Linked DNA regions of Oreochromis niloticus. Each later gene encodes a partner of the first gene's protein in a complex. Links are inferred from orthologs where the notes say so. Each region holds a gene or a part of one and is shown in the gene's direction. Other genes may lie near its edges.

The links. The genes of interacting proteins can lie anywhere in the genome.
Region 2: surf1 (region 1) and cmc1 share a complex: the UniProt entries of both Homo sapiens proteins name them as parts of the MITRAC (mitochondrial translation regulation assembly intermediate of cytochrome c oxidase complex) complex. The link is inferred for Oreochromis niloticus from reciprocal best matches to the Homo sapiens genes SURF1 and CMC1.

Annotation. Positions count from the first base shown.
Region 1 is NC_031972.2:15,956,432-15,966,306, reverse strand, and holds surf1 (surfeit locus protein 1), read left to right. Parts: upstream 1-5,871; 5' UTR 5,872-5,956; coding exon 5,957-6,019; intron 6,020-6,148; coding exon 6,149-6,209; intron 6,210-6,578; coding exon 6,579-6,709; intron 6,710-6,819; coding exon 6,820-6,902; intron 6,903-7,087; coding exon 7,088-7,279; intron 7,280-7,374; coding exon 7,375-7,447; intron 7,448-8,643; coding exon 8,644-8,806; intron 8,807-8,942; coding exon 8,943-9,024; intron 9,025-9,120; coding exon 9,121-9,181; 3' UTR 9,182-9,513; downstream 9,514-9,875. Other genes in the region: kyat1 (kynurenine--oxoglutarate transaminase 1), read right to left, coding at 838-896, 980-1,051; surf6 (surfeit locus protein 6), read right to left, coding at 1,952-2,641, 2,809-2,891, 2,980-3,183, 5,619-5,709. UniProt on the Homo sapiens protein: Component of the MITRAC (mitochondrial translation regulation assembly intermediate of cytochrome c oxidase complex) complex, that regulates cytochrome c oxidase assembly.
Region 2 is NC_031976.2:10,658,835-10,669,297, reverse strand, and holds the start of cmc1 (COX assembly mitochondrial protein homolog), read left to right. Parts: upstream 1-5,723; 5' UTR 5,724-5,888; coding exon 5,889-5,907; intron 5,908-6,330; coding exon 6,331-6,423; intron 6,424-10,463. UniProt on the Homo sapiens protein: Component of the MITRAC (mitochondrial translation regulation assembly intermediate of cytochrome c oxidase complex) complex, that regulates cytochrome c oxidase assembly.

The DNA of each region.
Region 1 (9,875 bases):
ACTTACACATGCAGTGTACTTTTACTTTGTGGAGTCTGGGAATGAGCAATTTGTGTTTGCATCTTTTCGCTGAATTAAACAATTAAAGAGTGGGTATTGCTCTGTAATTGTTTGTCGTTTTAGCTGTTTGGTGGTCATGGAAACAGTTTTATAGCTTGGTGACATAAAACATGCATGTGAAACACTACAAGAAATGTTAAATGAGAGATACTACTTATTAGGCTATTCCTGTATTCAGTCATATTCTAGGGGCTGGATGAACAGCTCTGGTGGGCAAAATGTGGCAATATTTCAGTAATTAAAAATATGCAAAACCTTAATTAAATAAAACACCTGACTTTTTCTGCTGTCTATAATGACATATATGGATTCCACTCTGAAGCACATTTTTAATAGTTTGTGACACTTTAAAAAAAGAAAGTGGCTCAGCTCCAATCTGTGTGACCTCATTCTCAAGCACTCAGATGTAGGTGATACATCCCGCTGGTGGAGGTATGAGGCAGGTCATAAGCAACAAACTGGTAGAGTTTTATTTTTTTATTTTTTCTTCTTTTCTCAGTTAAACAATCTGTTTAAGAGAAGGCAGAAAGCAGGTCAGCGTAATTCAGTCCAGTGAAATATGCTGACAAAAACATTTCTGTTTCTGTTTCTGTTCTTCTTCTTTTTTTCTTTTTTTTAACCATAAATCTGAGCTAATGAGCAGGTACCTGAATGCAACTTGCTCAGTAACTGCAGACTCTGCTGTGAAATATTACTTTTGCTGTTATGGTTAATATATTACACATATGATACTTTACCTATCCCCTAAAAACACGGACATTTCAGGTCATTACTCACCAGACATTCTTATCCACCCCGTCTGTCCTGCGTGCATGAAGTCGCCTGGACATGATGACCTGAAACAACAAAACAAGCTTTAAAATACACGGCCACTGGCCGCTGGAGACCTCTGTCTTCAGTTTAACAGAGCTGTGCCTACCTTATGATTGTTTCTAATTGAACTCTGTCGAAGTAGAACCAAACTTGCTGCAATGTTCCGGATTATTCCCATTAATAAATGATCTTAGGCTCACAGGAGCAGACGACACATTCAATGTTGTCACTGAGTCCCTGCAGAAGGAAAAAATATCTGTAAACGTTTCTGTTCACTTGAAAGTCCAGGGTTGTTGTTGTTTGGGACCAGTGCAAGATGAGAACGAAGGTCCCAGCACCTCCCCTTCAGCCTCCTTGTGTTTTGATTATCTACTTCCTGTGTGGGCGTGGCTAGATATTACAATTAGAAACGTCACGGACGACGGACAAACACGCGCCCAAAACTCAAGCCGCGGTTCACCTCTGTTGACGTATATGTCAACAATATGTTAGGGTTTTGTTTTTTTGTTTTTTAATACCGTTTTTAAAAGTAGCCGTGAATTTAGGAGAAATATTCCTGAACGTTTCATTTCCTTCTGTTGTTTTTTATTTGAGAGGTCTCAGGTAGTCCTCCAGCAGCCTCAGGACTGACTTTTATCACTGCCAGTGACAAAAAAGTAGTCCAATAAAAAAAAATTAAAAAAGATAAGCCGCAGTTATTTTGTTTTATAGTTCACATTTTACAAATTACATAGATAACATTAAAAAATATATTGAGTTGGCGCTCACTGGCACTTGGCCTAAGAGAGAGCCAGGCTGCTAACCAGCTTCTTTATGGTAAAGCCTCTTTTTTTTTTCTTTTTCTTTTTTTGAAACGGGCACAAACACACACACAGAGCCAAATATGGAAACCTGTTAATTTGAATTATAGTCTGTTCACAATCATGTTCACAATTACATTTTATTGACCATGAATCAAGGTATTCCTCCTGGGCATTAGGGTCAAGCAATATCTGCACAAGGAGAACATTTTATTATCATGTGAATATCACAGTGCCATACAGAAACTGAAAAAAGATGCAAGTTCTCTTTCCTTTGACTAAACTTTGGCTTTTTTCAAGTCCTCGGGCAGCACCCGGCCCTTCTTCCGCGCCCTGTCCTTCTTCTTCTCTGCCCTGCCTTGCTTGCGTTTCCGCAGGTTCTTTTGCCTCTTGTCCTGCCGCTGCTGCATCTTTCCTAGGACGTGCTCGCTCCGCTGCTCCCATTTCTTCTTTTTCTGAGTGCGTCTCTTCTCCTTCTTCTTCAGCGACTCGCGCAGCATGTCCTCGTTGTCTTTGATTTTGATGCCCTCTGCCTTGTAGAGCATGTTGGTCCACATGATCTTCTTTTCCATCTCGCGGGCCTTCTCCTCGTCTTTCTCTCTCAGCTGTTCCAGCTTGGCTTTGCGAGCCTCCACGCGGCTGAGCAGCTGCTTGTAGTTCTTCCCCGTCAGAGGAGTTATCTGGCCTTTTATCCCCTGTTTCTTGTTCTTCTTTTTTTGTTTCTTGTCTATATAACCCTCGTCCACCGTCTCAACCTTGTTGAAGACCAGAGCAGTCTCATTTCTTTTGCTCGAGGCAGCGATGTGCTTCTCTTCCTGTTTTACCTCTAATGGCTGTTCTTTCCCACTTTTTTCAGCTAGTTTCTTCATCAGAAATTCTTTTCTTTTCCTCTTCTTGCGCTCCCGCTCCAGCTTTCGCTTCGCTCGCTTCGCCTGGACAGCTTCTGATAATGCATCCTTTGGAGTTCCCTGATAAAAGACAGGTTAAGATGGTTAGGCTCAAAAAATAATTCTAGGGCACCAAGTCAAGTGACATCACTTCCTGTTTTAGAAGATCCTCAGTACAATAACACCCCCCCCCCGTCTCCCTTCATGAATCTCTTTCATACTGTGTGCAGTCTCTGAAAACTGCATACCTGTCCTCTGGACTCTTCAATCTTTTCGTGGAGCCTCTTGCGTAATACATCGACTGTAGTGAAGCTGGAGTCTACACTTCCTCCTTAAAGAAAAAGCAAATAAGCATTAAATGAGACCCAGTCATGTAAAGAGAAAAACCTCCGCAGAGGACCAGCGTAGGCTCGGTATACCTTGATGCTTCTGTTGTGTAGCTCCATTTGCGGCCTCAGTGTTGGACTCGTTTGGTTTCACGGCAACTTTGATTTTCTGCGCTGCTGGAGAGGGCGAAGGCTTCTGTTGGGGTTTGGGAGTCTTGCCGTCTGTGACCTCATCTTTCCTTTTGCATTTTTTCTTCTTCTTTGGAGGACCAGTGTCACTTTTAGCTTTGAAATGAACTGTACACACACAAACACAATGCACATATTGATGATTGCATGTATATAATGTGTCACTGCAGTTCTACAACACTGCCATTACAGTTACTAGCCTAGGACATGCAACATGTTCAGATAATGTCAGCTAACTGGAGAAAGAAGGATTTGAAATTTTCTGTTGGCAAACTCATGATCAGCTCGTTTCCTCATTTTCCATGAGAAAAAAAACACTCACAGCTGATTTGGTGGGTGACTCTTCTCTTATAAAAGCAATCCTATTAGCAGTAAAACACCTTCCAGTCAATTTATCTCATGACTTCTTGATATGACAAAAACTGTTCTTATATCCTGTGATCAAAGGATGTATGTCTACAAGTTATGAGCTGTTTGGTTTCAAAGTAGTCCACCTGGAGGTCTAGTGTACACATACTTGTACAATGAGACCGTTTTTAAGCCACTTTGCCATATTGTCACTTTTATTGCATATCTTTTTCACTATAATTTTAAATTTAAGTCCTAGACAACAACCATGCATTAGCTGGATGGACTTGAAGAGGACTTTAAAGAAGTGTAATGAGAACTACTGTTGAACTGTTGAATCTCAGTTGTCTGCATCTGCAATGGAATATAACCAAGTCTTTAAGTTGGCTGCGCAGCCTGTCAGAGCATCTCAAGGGAGGAAACACAGCACTAGGTTGTAGACTTAAGAAACCTACTGCTTAGGAAGACTGCAGAAGTATTTAAAGTAGTAAGTATGTATTTATATTTTAAATTCTGTTTATGTGTCTATTTACTTTGAGGGGGGATTTGTGTAAAACTTCTGTGACACCTACATAGTTACTGCATTACTTTTGTTAAAGCCCTTGAATAAAAGTTGAGCCTCTGCACTTGCCTGATTGATTTAAAGTCAACAGTGGAGGTGGACAGTAGGGCTGCCACAAACGATTATTTTGATAGTCGACTAGTCACCGATTATTTTTGCGATTAGTCGACTAATCAGATCATGCATCCATTGGATGTAAAACATACAACTTATTTCACCAGCATGCATCTGCTCTTATATAACTATCATTAGCTTACAGCTTTAAATGTTTAAGGTATGTGCTAACTAAAAATAAAGACAAGATGATAGTTTTTTAAATTTTAATGACATTTGTAGTTTGTTTGGTGGAGTTTAATAAACTCAGCCGTCTGCTCCTTGCTATCTAAAATATAACAGGACACCGGAGTATATTCTCGAGCATCTCAACACTTCTGATAATCAGTTGTCTGCTTGACGTTTATTCAGCTGTGTAAAAACTATAACTTTAATCTCAGCCAACCCGATTTACTCAGGAACAAATAAAATACTAAAAAAAGCCAAACAATATCATTTTTAAGTTATCTAAGTGACTAATATATCATGTTTAACCTGAGTAGCGAAAGACGGCGGTGGGTTTGAAAACGATTTGCCGGGAGTCCGGTGTTCTCACCGGCTCTAGTGAGCCGTCAACCCCAGCTAGCTATCGAGCTGGTGGGTAACAGACGTCTCCGAAAACGTCGGAGCGCACAGCTATATTCACAGCTTTATTCTCGCCTGAAAATATGTTAAAAGTTTATTTTGTGACCCAGAAAGAATAATAAGAGTGATATTAAAACTAACTAGCTGCCGCCATTGTTGAAAACTGAGCAGGGCCGCGCTATGAATTCTGGGACACAGATTCTTCTTCTTCGGGGTTTAACGGCAGCTGGCATCCTTGTACATGCAGTGCTGCCATCTTCTGTTTCAGTCCGTCATTACACTCTTAAATCCTACTACTTATTCCTGCGTCTTTTGGGATCTTACAAAGCTTCAAACGACGCGTCGACTATTAAATTAGTCGTCGACGATTTTAATAGTCGACGTAATCGTGACTAGTCGACTAATCATGACAGCCCTAGTGGACAGAGACAAAACTACAAAAACAACCCAAAAAGTAGCATTGTCCAAAAATCTATGGAGCCAGCTTTAAAAAACATAAAAAGGTCATTTACAATATTAGTTCCCCCCGAGTTATAAATTAATCTTGTTGTCCACAACTTCCCACATAAATGAAATCAGTGAAAGGTAGAAAATTAGTACCTTTAGATATTCCAAAAACAAGTTTATACTTAAATATATGACAAAAACTCATTTTTTTTAACAGTTTTGGGGACAAAAAAGTCATTTAAGAGTAATAGCAGATTATTTTTCTGACATGCTATCAGTTTGGTAACTTTAATAAACAAAGGGTGCATAAAGCCATCAGATGTTTCTCAAACACTGTAGCGCCTCCTGTGGTACCAAGTAGGTAAAACCTGAAACTGTGGCACAAGGTTTGATGACATTTGCTGAGTTTTACGTAGTTTTTCACAATAAATAACACCTAAATGTTAAAGTATGCACTACAGCTTCAATTTTGCCATGTAAACAAACCCAAGCATTTAGCTAACATTACCGAACGGTCTCTTCCTGGGCTCCTGGTCACGTTGAGAAAACACTTTACTTGCAAGTTTCTGAATGTACGAGTCCTTTGAGGCGAGATCCATGTCGACAAGTGAAACGGGCTCCCAACTTTAATCCGGATAAAACAGACACACGATATTTACTGATAAAAACATCAACACGTCCACAGAAGCACGTGTGTAAAAATTAAAAGGGGCGGGGCGTCGCCAATCCGGAAGTAGTAACACCAGAAGTGGTCCCCCTCCAAGCAGAAACTTGTCAGTTATGTAGCTGTGATGTAGTCGATTGTCTCGTCCATTTCCATCCATTTCCACGTTGTTTTGATTCAGAATGGTCTCTCTGACATCTCTGCTGACTTACTCCCGGAGGCTGCTGCCGACACTAAAAACACAGGTGCGTTAGTTGTCGCAGTTTCTCGTCTTTACGGCTCAAACAAAAAAAAAAATTACGTCAAAGTCATTTTCATTGCCGAGTGAACGACTAGCAAAAATGCTGAGTTTATTTTATACATGTGTATTTCAGAATCATGCCTTTTACACCAAGAGGTCTTTCTTCCTGCCAGGACCCTTCAAACGTGTAGACGGTACAAACTAAACTTGTCAACAATTACACCGCCTTTAGATAATTAGAAAATAAAGTCACTGTTGCATATGTTTTCTTTAGCAATATTTTTTCCATTTAAAAAAAAAAAAGTAGAAAATAAATCCGTTTTTTATCTGTTATATGGTATTTTGTCTTTAATGTTGAAATTAGGTAAAAAGTAATAACTACGTAATAATATAAAAAAAATCAACAAAACCTGTTCAGTTTACATTAATGTCTGTCTCCATGGCTGCTGAAATAATCATTATGTATACATTTTAGGGGTAGAATATATATACATTATTCCATTATATTATTTGTAATTGTTATGTCAATATCCACCTTTCACTATTATTCTTTACATAACCAGGCAGGTTCCTTGGCTTTGGACGACAGTCCAGCTCCACAGCAGCCAAAGCTGCAGAGAAAGGAGAAGACTCTTTTCTTAAATGGTTCCTGCTGCTTATCCCTGCCACCACCTTTGGCCTCGGCACATGGCAGGTACGACTTATTTGTTGATTGTTATTGCCTTTTTAAATACACACAATGCGGTTATGTCTTTCTGGTTGTTGTTGGGTGGAGTCTAGTGCCTTCATTGCCTTCATCTGTAGGTGAAAAGGCGTCAGTGGAAATTGAAGTTGATTGATGACCTGACACGACTCACTACTGCAGAACCCATTCCTCTTCCTCTTGAGTAAGTGAGTGGCAGAGAGTGGCTAGATCCTGTATCTATGGGAGAAAATATGAAAAAGCATAATAGGTGCTCTTTAACACTTCATGTAATGGCCTAATGTGCAGAAGTTGAATAAGCCACGTTATGTACATATGTGAATCATTAAGGTGCAGATTTACATGCCATTTCCCCCCCTTGCATTGTAGTCCTTATGAGGTTAATAACCTCGAGTACAGAAGAGTCAAGGTACGTGGACGTTACGATCACTCCCAAGAGCTGTACATTATGCCCCGCTCACCAGTCGACCCAGAGAGAGAGGCCAGAGAAGCAGGAAGGCTCTCTTCAAGTGCAGAGACCGGTGCTAATGTCATCACCCCATTCCACTGTACCGACCTCGGGTAAGGAGCCAGATAAAACATCTCATCATACCAATATCTGTACATTGATCTTGCGCTGCTCCCAAAACTGATTTATACCGTCTGTGTCACTGAAGCATCACAATCCTGGTGAACAGAGGATTCGTGCCCAGGAAGAAAATAAGACCAGAGACCAGGATGAAGGGACAGGTGAGGGGAAGACATCAGATGCTGGGTAAACACAGAGGTTTTAAACCAGGTTGGAGTGTTAAGTCTTTTATTATTCTTGATAAATGAGTTAGTCTTTGTGCAATAAACAAATCTCAGACTCACTTATAAGTCTAATAGGTTTGTGACAAGCTATGTTAGAACTAAGACTACAGTTCAGTTCATAGGTTTTACATACCAGGACATAATAAAAAGTCATCTGGTTGACAGCAAGTCTTAACGGCTAAATACAACCTCAGATGAACAACAACATGACATATCACACCATGTAATTATTTACTGAAAACTAAGCCAAAATACAGAAGCAGCATGTGTAAAAATGATTTACACCCTTACTTACTTCCTGTTCCCGTAAGAATTAGGGGGATAAATTCCAGCCCTGTTGCTGATAATTAAGTGCACTTGATTAATTGATCGTCAGTAAGTGTGAGAACCGCTGTAAAGGTAGAGGTTTTGGTAATTTGCTGGTCTGGAGTATTCAGGTGTGTGTTAACAGAATACCAAAGAGATAACAGCAATGATCCCCTGGGAGGGTTAAATGACTATTTCCAAATATTCTGAAGTCCATCATTGTACATTGAGAAAGATTATTTACATATGGAAAACACTGAAGAGTTTACAGTCTTCCCAGGAGCGGACGTCCCGGCAGATCACCCCAAGGTCAGACCGTGCAATGCTCAGAGAAATTGCAAAAAAACCCAGTAGCTACATGTCAGACTTTGCAGGCCTCAGTTAGCATGTTAATGTTAAACATGTTAAACAGCACAAAGAAAATAATGAACAAGTATGGCTTATTTTGTTCACGTATAACCTGTTTTGGAGCACAAGTTACTATGTTGATCCACCTTGGTAAGAAGTGAACCACCCCTGAAGTTACCTGGTCAAGACAAATCCCACATCCTAGTATAGGCCTTGGGTGTTTCTAGTTTTGAAAAACTCTTGATGTACTGAGAATTCATCTTCAATTAGGCCCCAACTCCCTTTAGTAATTGAATAGTTTAAATATGCCTTGAAGACCCTTTTATTGTCATGTTACTCCTACTAATAAACTTTCTGCATACAAATTTAAATTAACTAAAGCAGAACTGACCTACACCACTTGTCTGTTCGCTAACACACTAACACCACCTTTGTGTTGTTGTAAACACTTGAACCACTGAAATATTGCCTTTATGCAGGTGGAGGATGAGGTGGAGTTGGTGGGAGTGGTCAGACTGACAGAGAATCGTAAACCCTTTGTACCAAACAATGACGTGGAGAGAAACCGCTGGCATTACCGTGACCTGGAAGCAATGGCACAAGTCACTGGAGCCGTGCCCATCTTCATTGATGCCGACTATGGTATGTTCAGTGCTCTTTGACGCAGTGACTTTACATTAAGATTAAACCTCTGGAATCCTCCGTGTGCTGTTTATCTCACTCACATCAACAGAAACACTTTGTTTTTGAAAGTAATTTAAAGTTTTGTCTCATGCAGGTAGCACTATTCCTGGTGGGCCAATAGGTGGACAGACTAGGGTCACACTGAGGAATGAACACATGCAGTACATAATAACATGGTGAGTGTTTTGTTTTGGACTGCTGTAGATATGTGACACACTCATGTCTCAAAGTGCATTTGATTAATAAAATTCTGAATTACTTTTTTCTTCTAGGTATGGTTTGTGTGCAGCTACTTCCTACATGTGGTATGCAAAGTTCATCAAGAAGATTTAAAGCAATAAAATTATTTTACTTGGTACTTGAACTATGGGTAAGCAAATCTTGTATGTGCTTAACTTTTGTAGCTCCAGCCTGGTGCATATATTATGTAAATAGCCTAATGTGTAAATAAAGTACTCAAGCTCTGAGATTCTTTATTTACCTTGTCGCATATACTACGTACCAATAATAACCGTGGGGAAAAAAGATCCTCGTGTCCTGTAAATTATGTGGTTTTGATAAAGCATCTTATATTAAACTTAGGCCAGTTTTTCTGGAAATGTATTTTTTTCAAAACTGGTTAACTTTACTGCTGGATGATATTAAATATAATATCAATATGATCAGATTCAGTAACTCCAGTTACAGAAACTTAGACCATCAATATGTCTACACTTCAATGAATTGAAAGGTAGAGTTCATGATAGTTTTCACCTTTCAAGTTGTGGTTTCTCAGTTATAAAAAAAAACCCAAACAAAACTATCCTGATCACTCTTTTCAAGCAATTTGTCAGATAATGCCCAAGATTATCATTCATCTTGATTTAAACTGTGACACTTCAGGATTCGGCATGGGAAACCTAAAAACGTCAGTTCCACCCTTATTATGAACAAGCAGAATTTAAAATGCTCCCATGTTTACATTTCCTGCTGTCACTGTGGTGACACCTGCAATCTGATTCTAACATTTTTATAATTTTAGTTTGAA
Region 2 (10,463 bases), on another chromosome or scaffold:
CACAGTGGCAGACCCCTTCACTTGCTTGAGAGGAAATGCATCCTGACATTGCTCGGGTGGTGCCAACACAACTAGAGCCAAGGTAAAATAAAAAGGCTTTCTGTTTTACTTAAATATTGTATACGCTTATGCTGCAGGGGTGGAAAAGAATCCTGAATCTTTTCTTTTACTTATTTGTTTCATTTGGATTGCACACTGTATTGGATTGTGTAAGTTATGTGAACGTTCATTTACACACAATACACCAGTAATTCTCCATCCCTGTAGGCCTGATATGTATTAAACTGTTATCCAGGCATGCATACATACATACATATAGTCTGGATACAAGGCATGGACAGTTTACAAATTTCTCAATTATTCAATTAATCAATTTGTTTCTCAGTCTTTATTTCTGCAGAAATATATGTATATATATATATATATATATGTGTGTGTGTGTGTGTGTATATATATATATATATATATATATATATATATATATATATAGATATAGATATATACATATATAAATATACTGAGTCCAATATATTAGCAGCAATGACTAGCAGTCAGGAAAGGTGAAGCTATCCTGGAGGGAGTCATCCTAATATAATGATGTTTAGTTGACATTGACAATAATTGCTGGAGCCAAATGTCACAGGGGTGACCTGTGGAAGGTGCCCCACAGCAGGACTCAACAGCAGAAGTCTGCCTGTAGGTTTGTAATCCCCTCACCCGAGCCGTTGGATTATGTGCTCTCTATCGACCCTGAAGAGGCTCCCCACGGCTTGGGCTTAAACACTCTCTAAAATCTCATCTCCACACCCCATCTGCCGGCTGAGTGATGTCTTGGAAGTCGAAGGAGTAGAGATGGGAGCAGACGAGCAGACGGAGGAAATGAGAACACGCCTCCTACTCCTTGCTGCGGCTCTGCACCGCAGAGGAGAGCAGACTTTAGGAAAACATGCTATATACGCCTTCAGGACAGATTTTTAAATATGCACATCAAAATTACTATAAGAGTTAGTTATAGGTTTGTGATTTTATTCATGTTTATATTGGTATTATTTATATTCTCCCTTAAATGAATGTGTAATTGATTGTTGTTGCTGTCAAAGTATTAAATTTCTTGTTGCCAATTACACTCCTCCATTAATATCCGTGTGCTAAATGGATCCATTTCACAAATAAAAAAAGTTCAAACATAGATCAATAATTGCTTTTCCACAGATCAATGACCCTTTAACATTCTCTGACAGGGGCCTTGTTTTGTGGCCGTCAGTGGACAGTTGGAGGAGCTGGTGGTTGGCCCTGAGCAGTGAGGCATGTCGTAAGAGGGTTTAACTTTGCTAACCTCCTTCTGCCAGGTTCATGGGGCCCTGCTGTTTGGGTAATATTGGATCAGTGTTGGGAGCCCATGTCCCTGCCATATCAGTCAGCACGCTACCTGGGGTAGTGAGCGCTTTCCTCTATGGAGCCAACTGGACTTGTTCAGGATTCAATTTCTATGTTTTTTTATATTTCATATTTTTGAAATTCCTCGAACGTTGAATTTCATATGCATTAAAGCCACATGAAGCAAGATTTGTTGACGTCTCTGACAACAAATAATCTCTGACATAACAGAACAAAAACATGTGGGCCCATAGCAGTGAGTTCATTAGAGACCAGAACAACAAATATTTTTCATGTTATTAGGAGTTCTCTTAAAGTTAATGTTCCAGTGTATAATCAGTCCACAAACAGTACATTAGATGTACTTTGTACATGTGTTTTACCACAACCGCTTTTGACAATGTACTGCGGTAAGTGGACTCACAAGAAAAAAAATAAAACCCATTGATAGAAAAGGGGAACCATGGACTCACAAAGTAAATTAGGAAGTAGATTTGTATGTAGGTAGGTACTTTTGGCACAATACCTCTTTTCTTTTCTTTTCTTTTCTTTTCTTTTCTTTTCTTTTCTTTTTTTAAATACAGCCTACAAGAAAAAGAAATGCCGTTAAGCACCTGTGCATTAGCTGTCGTTTCCCTTCCTTGTATTAAATAATGAATGCAGCCAAACCACTATTTGTAACATTAAAAAACAAAAAAACATGGAGTCAGAAGGAAACCACTCAAGCTGAAATATTAAAAGTATGCACCATATGTGGTCTTGGCTTGTTTAAGTACAGCCAGCACTAGGATCATAGTAAAACAGCCACACACTGTATAGAGATGAAAAACAAACATTGTTTTATATTTTTTTCTACAGTGAAAAGCAAGCTTTCGTTGAGATATCTGATTTATCACAGGAAAAAAAGATTTTGGCCAGAAACCTGTTGAGTGCTCATAAATATCAATTATTTGTATATTGTAGACTTATATAACTTTTTTTTTTGTCAAAACAGTTTTACAGGATGACACGCACCACATAAAGCTCTTGTATTTGTCAAGAATTCAAGCGATATTAAAATATCATTTTTATCATATTTGCTTCAGTGGTTGTGCAATCATTCGTATGAGGCCCATTTGGCCCTGCTGTGGAAATTTGGCGAATGTTGCATTTTGGAGAGCTCTGCTGATATTAAAATCTGCAGATGCCCACCTGGTGTCAGAAGGGGTGGAAACAGAAGAGTGTGCTGTCTGGACTTGGAGGTGTGTATATCCATCTGTTCATTTAAGTTCAAGGTTCAAAAAAATGAAATAAAAAGCATGCACACGTGTGCATACAGGTGATGGCCTGTGGTCTCTTTTTGTTAAAGGAGTGGGGTTTTTTGTGCTTGTAGAAATCATAGATTTGCTCTTTCTGGTCTTTGATTTTTAGATGAAAAGGCTGTTTTTCTCCACAGAGGAAAGCGACAGCTTTACCGGTGTAAGGTCAGAGAGTCGTGAGAACTACAGGCAGACGGCCTAGAGATTCACTATATCGCCTCTGGCGGTGGTGATGTGTGGGTGAGTGTGAGCTGTAAAGGTGCACTGGGTGTGTGTCTGTGTGGTTTGGATGTGGAGGTGGGTAGTTCACACCTGTTTCTTATCGTAGTCTGTATGTGTGAAGACTGTCTTTTTCTTAAAGGTGTGTATATGTCTGTGAGCTGGGTACCTGTTTCTTTGATTGAACAGGTGGGCCTTGTTTGCATGGGATCCAGACAGCCGATCCGCCGCACAGCTGACTGTGGTCAGGCTTACTGTGCGCAACACACAGGCTGTGGTTCAGGTACAGATACACTGTGGTTGGATGCTGACTTTCAGGAGTCGTTTTTCGATGATTTTGTTATGATTTTATTTCACAATTGCCACATGGTACAAATATTGTTTTAAAAACAAGTCTTATTGTTTGCATTAAAAATATGTAGCCACCATACGTAGTTTGAGAGTACAGAAAAAAGCCCTGGCAGTTAAAACACACAAAACTAACAGCACAATGTAATTGTATTTGATGCAACATAGCTTACATAATAGTACGATTTTTACAGCTTCAGCCTCTTAACCTACTTTACTTGGAAGACAGTCATCAGACAAAGTGGGATGTTTATCTGAAGGTGTTTTACAGTTATTTCATAATCATTTATTAAAACTGCATACGCCCTTTTCAAAGTTGACACGTTGGACTGCCAACAAGGGGAAGTACAGGTGTTACTCTGAAAATGGTCATTGCAATGACATCCCTGTAAAAGTCTTTTGTTTGTGTAATCCAAAAAAGGAGATTAGACACGTGAAAAAAAGACACCAGTATACAGGCATGTTAAAAGAAACTAGGCCCTTTTTATACATATTGCACAGTGTCATTGCTTAGTCAACAAAAAGTAAGCCAAACTATAGAATCAGTGTGTAAAAAAACTAAACACACTCCATGATTCAAATTCTCGTAGTAGCACCTTCAGCAGGAATAACTGGAAATATTAGTTTTCTATATGACTTTCTCTGTCTCTCACTTCACTGCAGGGAAATTTTGGTCCATTTTTCTTTACAACCTTGTCGTGGTTCACTGAAGTTTGCCAGCATTTGCTTATGCACAGCATTTCAATCTGGCAACATCTTGATTCTTTTCTTTTTCAACTAGTCTGTAATAGATTTGCTGATGTGCTTGCAATCGCTTTTCTGTTGCATGAATTAATTTTGGCTGAGTTTTCACTGTCAGGCAGATGACCTCAGATTTGAGTTTTTGGTATACTTTGGTATGCAGAAGAGTTCCTGCTTGACTCAGTGACTGCAAGGTGCCCGGGTCCTGTGGCTACAAAACAAGCTTAAATCATCACCCACCACCACCGTGCTGACAGATGGTATGAGGTGTTAGTGCTGTTGTGCTGTATTTGGTTTTCACCAAACATGGTGCTGTGCATTACGGTCAAACAACTCCACTTTATCTGTCCAAAGGGCATTGTTGTGGTTTGTTCAGATGCAATTTTGAAAAGCCAAACTGCGCTGCCATGTTATTTTTAGAGAGAAGAGGCTTTCTCCTGGCAAGCCTTCAAAACAAACCACACTTGTTCAGTCTTTTTTAATTGTGCTGTCATGAACTTTAACATTTAGCATGCTGACTGAGGACTATAGAGTCTGAGATATAGCTCTTGGGGTTTTGGGGGGTTTTTGCAGTTTCTCTCAGGATTGCATTGTGTGATCTTGGGATGAATTTGCTGGGACATCTATATCTGAGAAGATAGTGTTTTCCACTTGTGAGTAATCTTTCTCACTGCAGAGTGATGGACAGATGATTAGAAACAGCCTTATAACCCTTCCCAGATTTATGAGCAATAACTGTTACTAAAATCATTACCGATATCTTTTCTCCTTTCTAATGTGTGAAAACACACCTGACGAAAAAAACTGCCAAAACTTCTGCTGTTAAAAGAGGTGCTTGCACTTGCTTATGATCAGTTAGTGAAGTGCATTTAATTACCCTCCATGGAGGCAGTAAGGGTTTCACAGGAAAAAAGAAGGTACTGCATCTTAATTTTGTTTTAATTTTTGTTAAATAAATAATGACACAGTGTAATATGCTACGTGTTGTAGTTCATCTGGGGTTGTATTTACCTAATTTAAGACCTGTTAAGGACCAAATTATATTTAATATGTTTAGAAATGTAAAAACTTACTGCATTTTTACCATGACTCTATATAGCTTTTTGACAGGCTAATGGAGTTTTAATGTTTATGATCTGTGGTTGCATTGGGGTCTAACAGAAAGTGAAATTTGTTTTTACAGTGCAAAATGTTAATTATGTAATTACTTGTAAAATATAAACATTTAATATCATCATATGATTACATTCCTAAAAATCAGCACATTAGATAAAGAAATATTTTTCTGCATGATATAACTTGCACACCGTTGTTTACAAAGAGCAATTACAGGGAGCTTCACACTCCCAGTAACTTCAATTTGTGAAAAAACATAGAACGTAAAAACTGTCATTTCGTGTCATTTATAATGAAAAGAAAGAAAAAAAAGAAAAAGAAGTGTTTTGAAGCTCTAAATTTATATAGTTATGTTTTCTTCTTGTTTAAGGGTTTTCATTCCACCTTCCATCTAGACCGGAAACTTACTGTGGCTGGTGCAATCACAATTAATCACAGTTAATATTATTAGCATTAGTAGTATTTCCTGAATCGCATTAGTGAATAAGAGATATTTCTAATAATAAAGGCTGTAACTGAGACTGTCTCTTTAACGTGATAAAACATAAGAAATCCCTTTCCTCGGGCTTCAACAGAAATGAGCGTGGAGCTAAACCACCAGCTCCGACAGTAAGCATCGCTCGATCACCTGTAGCCTCCTGCTTCTCCGCTCGCTCTCCGACGCCCAGAGTGACTCTGGGAATTGCAGTTTTTCAGGCCACCATACTACGTCAGCGGAAGTGTTTTGAGCGTTCGCGAGCTAGGTCACATTGATTCAGTGGGGGTAATGTTTTAAGAAAAGTCATCACAATGGAGGCAACAAATGCAGGTATTAAATACCGTAATGCACTCAAATGCTTTTCGTGTATTTCGTGGCATACTTTTAATATAAGCTGTCCGAGTTAGGTCGGTCTTTATTGGCTGTATTGAACTGTAATGGACCTGAGACGCTATAATAACGTTAGCTAAATGCACTTAAAGAGGCTGTCGCGACTTTGAAGGAAAATGCTGAGTTAATTACTCATAAATGAGAACTTCTGTGTCTAGCGTCTCAGTTAATGGTCCCAAACATGCCTCGCCTTTAGCTGCGTGCGGTAATCCGCGTTTAACGACAGTTGAGCACAAGCACGCATGTCTCCCACGTACACCTCTGATAATTAACAGAAAGCATATTCAGTAGGCTTGATGCGGTTGATGCTTATTGTGATGCTTACTTGGTGATACTCATATTTGCTTTGCTCTGCCGTGTCAGAGGAAACCCATCTGAGGCATGTGGAGAAGGATGTGCTGATCCCCAAGAAGATGAGGGAGAAAGCCAAGGAGCTCTGTGCTGACAAGGTTGAAGGTGGGATTTTCTCCTGTCCACACTAAAGTGTCGCTCAGGAATCGAGTTTACACAGCAGGGTCCCTTTTTAAGGAGGCCGTTTTGAACTGTCACAGTTAAGAAACATATGCCAGTTCACCTGAGTGTTACAGTAAGCCATTAGAGTGAACCAGCATACAACTCTGAACCCAAATGGAAAGCAGCCATCATTAAAACGTGTGTGTGTCCACTGCCTTATGTCATACTGTTGTTAGTTTGTTAGAAAAGCAGAGATCTTGGTTAAATCTGTGCCTTAAAGAGACTTCTTTGGTCTTCAGTAAGAACCAGAGTACCAGGAGCTTTGATTGGGATTGACTAGAAAAGTTTGAAAATTCAACTTGCTAACTATAACACTGTGATGCTAGTCAAGAAAACGAGGACAAACATCAACATTTGCCTAATTTCACAATTGGCAGTAAGATGGAAATGGAAGTAATTCAGTCTAACTTGTCTACCTTGTTTTTTGTTTTGTTTTTCTAAATTATTTTGATTTGCCACAGTCGGAAAGGTATAGGTTAAAAATAAAAATGTATTGTAACCAATGGATGTACTGGTAGCTGCTTTATCTTCAGGCCCTGGGTATATCCTGGTTCATGGTGATACTATAGTGATTCAGTTGCACAGTGAGCATTGGTACCTAAAATATCTCAAGTTCTATCAAAACCAAAGTAAAAAGTGAGAGTCCACATATACCATGTGTAGGTCACCAGTCTATCAGAAGGTTAACACAGAGAGATACATTCACACCAATGGCAAATTTACAATCACCAATCACGCCAGAGTATCTGGAAAGAGGGAAGGGTGTAACATTGCTGTTCTTAATTTGTCTTTTAATGCAGGGTTGTCAAACATATGGCCCGCAATACAATTTCATATGTCAAGAGAGACTTTATTTTGTTGGGCAAACCATGCGGCCAGTCACACGCAAAGGCAGATTGGGATTATACCATTATATGAAAGAAAGAAGGAGGGCAAGTTCTGAAGACAGCAAGTGTAGTGGTTCAGGCCATGTACACAGAGACACAGCGAAGCTGGATTTAAATGCAAGCATGTCAGGAAAAAGTGAAGAAATGAGTGAAAACGTAAAGTGAGCAGCATCTGGCTGCATTTCAGTGATCTTGGGTTTCTGAGTGTCTCACAGGCCTGAATGTGCGCTTGAAGCAATTTATAATTCTTAACTTGTTTGATCTGCTGCTCACCACAATCAAGGACAAGCAGAAATTTTGGACTTTTAACTGTATTTTCAAAAGTTTTACAGCTTTTCCTACTGATAAAAACCTCCCTTATGGCCATTCATACTACACAAAGTAATTAAGCAATAAACCTCAATGCTCCCAGTAACAGAGGCAAGAGGGAGATCATCTGCTTTAATGGGATTTGCCACCAGATCTGTTATTTTAATATAGACCCGTGTGGTATCCATAGAAATGTCAGAATCTCAGCTAAAAGCTTACAAAACAATTTCAACAATCACCAAACAGCTAAAATAGTAAACGATTAAAGAGCAGGTAAACAGATTCCACAAAAAGATGTAAACCCAAAGGGTGAATCCCCCCGTTCACCCGACGACATGTACATGAACATGCCGTCAGGTGCTGAAAGCCAACATCTCCCAGATTCCAGAACCTGCAGGTTTCCTCACTCTCCGAACAAAATTTACCTGACCAGCAGCAAAACAAGACCAAAACCCTGCTTCGTGTTTAAAGAAACATTATAATGAATCCTCACTTACTTTTGCTGTCTTGCTTCCACCACGATAAAATCGCACTTCCTGCACAGCTCTATCTCTCTGTGTGCTTCAAGACTAGTTTCCCATCAGAAGTCTCTACTTTCTGCTTTATTTCCTTGCTAATAAGGCACCAGTCTGCCATTGCATACAGTGTTGTTGGCCACTGTTTTGGGGTGTTTTCCCCCCCAAAAAATTATCCCTGACAAGAAAGCCCAACTCCTGCTATTCACAAATTATAACCTTTTGAAAAACAGAAACATTTATGTAATTTACACATGAATTTCTTACAATTTAAGTCCAAAGACTCATGCTGACAGCATGTCACAGCAGCTTTTTCTTTATCACGTAGAAAAACATTTAGATATGTAGCTTCTTTGCACTGAGAGAAAAGGGAGTTTCACCTGTCCGGTCCACTTAAAATCAAAGTGAGCTGTATGTGGCCCTCGTGTTAATGTGAACACAATCTATCAATCTTTTAGAGAAATGACTTGATGTCATTGCAGACACTGAGGGTGAGGTAAAATGTTGTAGCATACGTGTTAATGCTGTTCATGTTACACAGTGGTTAGCTTAGCAACTCAGCAGTATGCACAGGAGACATGCCGGGACATTGGTGTTTCATTGTTTACACAGAATTGATCAGAGGTCTGTGTGAAGCATGATTTGGGCTGGTTCAAGTAACTTCAAGGTTAACCTTTGTTTTTCTGTTTTATGAAGGCGATCATTCCTTACTTGGGTACATCACCGTGGTAACGTGCTGTAGACCTATCCTGTGCTCTAGCAGGGTTAGGGAATCTATCCAAACCTACCTGGCCCTGTGCGAAACATAATTAAACTTTTTAATTTTTTGAGTCCTGTTATATTTGGCGTAAAAATGAACACATCGTTTCATGAAAAGTACCAGCCATCGAACATGGTCTGCGCCTGCTGCTGTTTTAGCACTTGGATGAGTTGCTGCGATTGAGTCATGAATTGTGCTCTCTAACAAATCTTAATATTATAGTTTTATCTTTCTTTTGTAAAGTCAGCTATTCACCTGCTAGTCAGGCTCTCCATTTTTATTGGTCAGATGCTGTCAGCGCCACACCTTTAGTGTGAATGCGCTCGTAGCTAGATTGTTAAACCCTGGCTTTCCTCCCTGACTTAATATCAATAATCACCTTCGTCTTGATGGATGCTCAATCATCCAGGTAAGTAAATCTCCGAAAGTTTATTCTGTTCATCTGGACTTAGCGTTTTCAGTGGGAGAAACGTTTCGCTGACTTCCCAGCCCATTGTTCCTTCAGTGGGCTGGTTTCAGTCATTATGCAAATGTACTGTTTATAAGATTGGGGAATCCTGCAGTCAGCTGAGACTGAAGAAGTCACTTGGATGAGTGACGAAACATTTCTCGCACAGAAAACGCTACAACCCAATGAACAGAAACAACTTTTGGAGAATAATCACCTTCGCGTGACCACTTAGCCTTGTTTCTTATGTTAAGTAAAGCCAGATGAGAGGGGTATCTTGCTTTGTATTTGAGGCCTCGGGGAGCTCATTGAAACATGACAGCAAAACATTTAGACGCCATCAGACTGATAGAAAAGAGTCTGAGAGAGGCTTCAGGAATGGAAGCATAAACTTAGAGTGTTAGTAAAACGTTGTTCTTCAAAATGGGGACTGCATGTGGCGTAGCATGTTGCTGCCCCCATTTTTGTGTCATATTGCAACACTGCATCTTTCCTTCCTCAGGAATTTACTTTACTCTTGACCTTCTTGAATCAGACCCTTCTTCTTCTTTCCAGTATTGAGTAGCAGGCTAATTGGCATGACGGCAGTTGCCTCTTTATCTACACAGACGCACGCACGTACTTGGCTGCACCTCTGCTCCAGTGTGCCCCGTTTACTGCAGCAACACATCAGCCCGACAGTCACGGTTTTATGTGGTTTTTAGAAATCTGATGACAGCTTCTATGAGCTAGGGTGTACTGCTCACACGAGGAGGCAGACAGAGGTGATGGGACATACATGGCTGGGCTGTGGGTAGTGGAAACCCCCCTCACATTACAAGTTTCTCGTCCCACTCATTTTCACACCTTCATCCTCCGCCCTCAATCATCTATTCTGTCTGTTTGTGTCTGCACTACTGGGCTCCTGTGTGTGTGTGCGTCTGTGATTGTGTTTTACAAAGACAGTGCCAAAAAAAAAAACCCAACACAATCTACAAGTATGTTTTCCTGTGTTATTGGTATCTGCATATATGCCTCTGCACACCCCACAGTTGTGTATTGTAGGCTTTGTTGTTCGCGCAGAT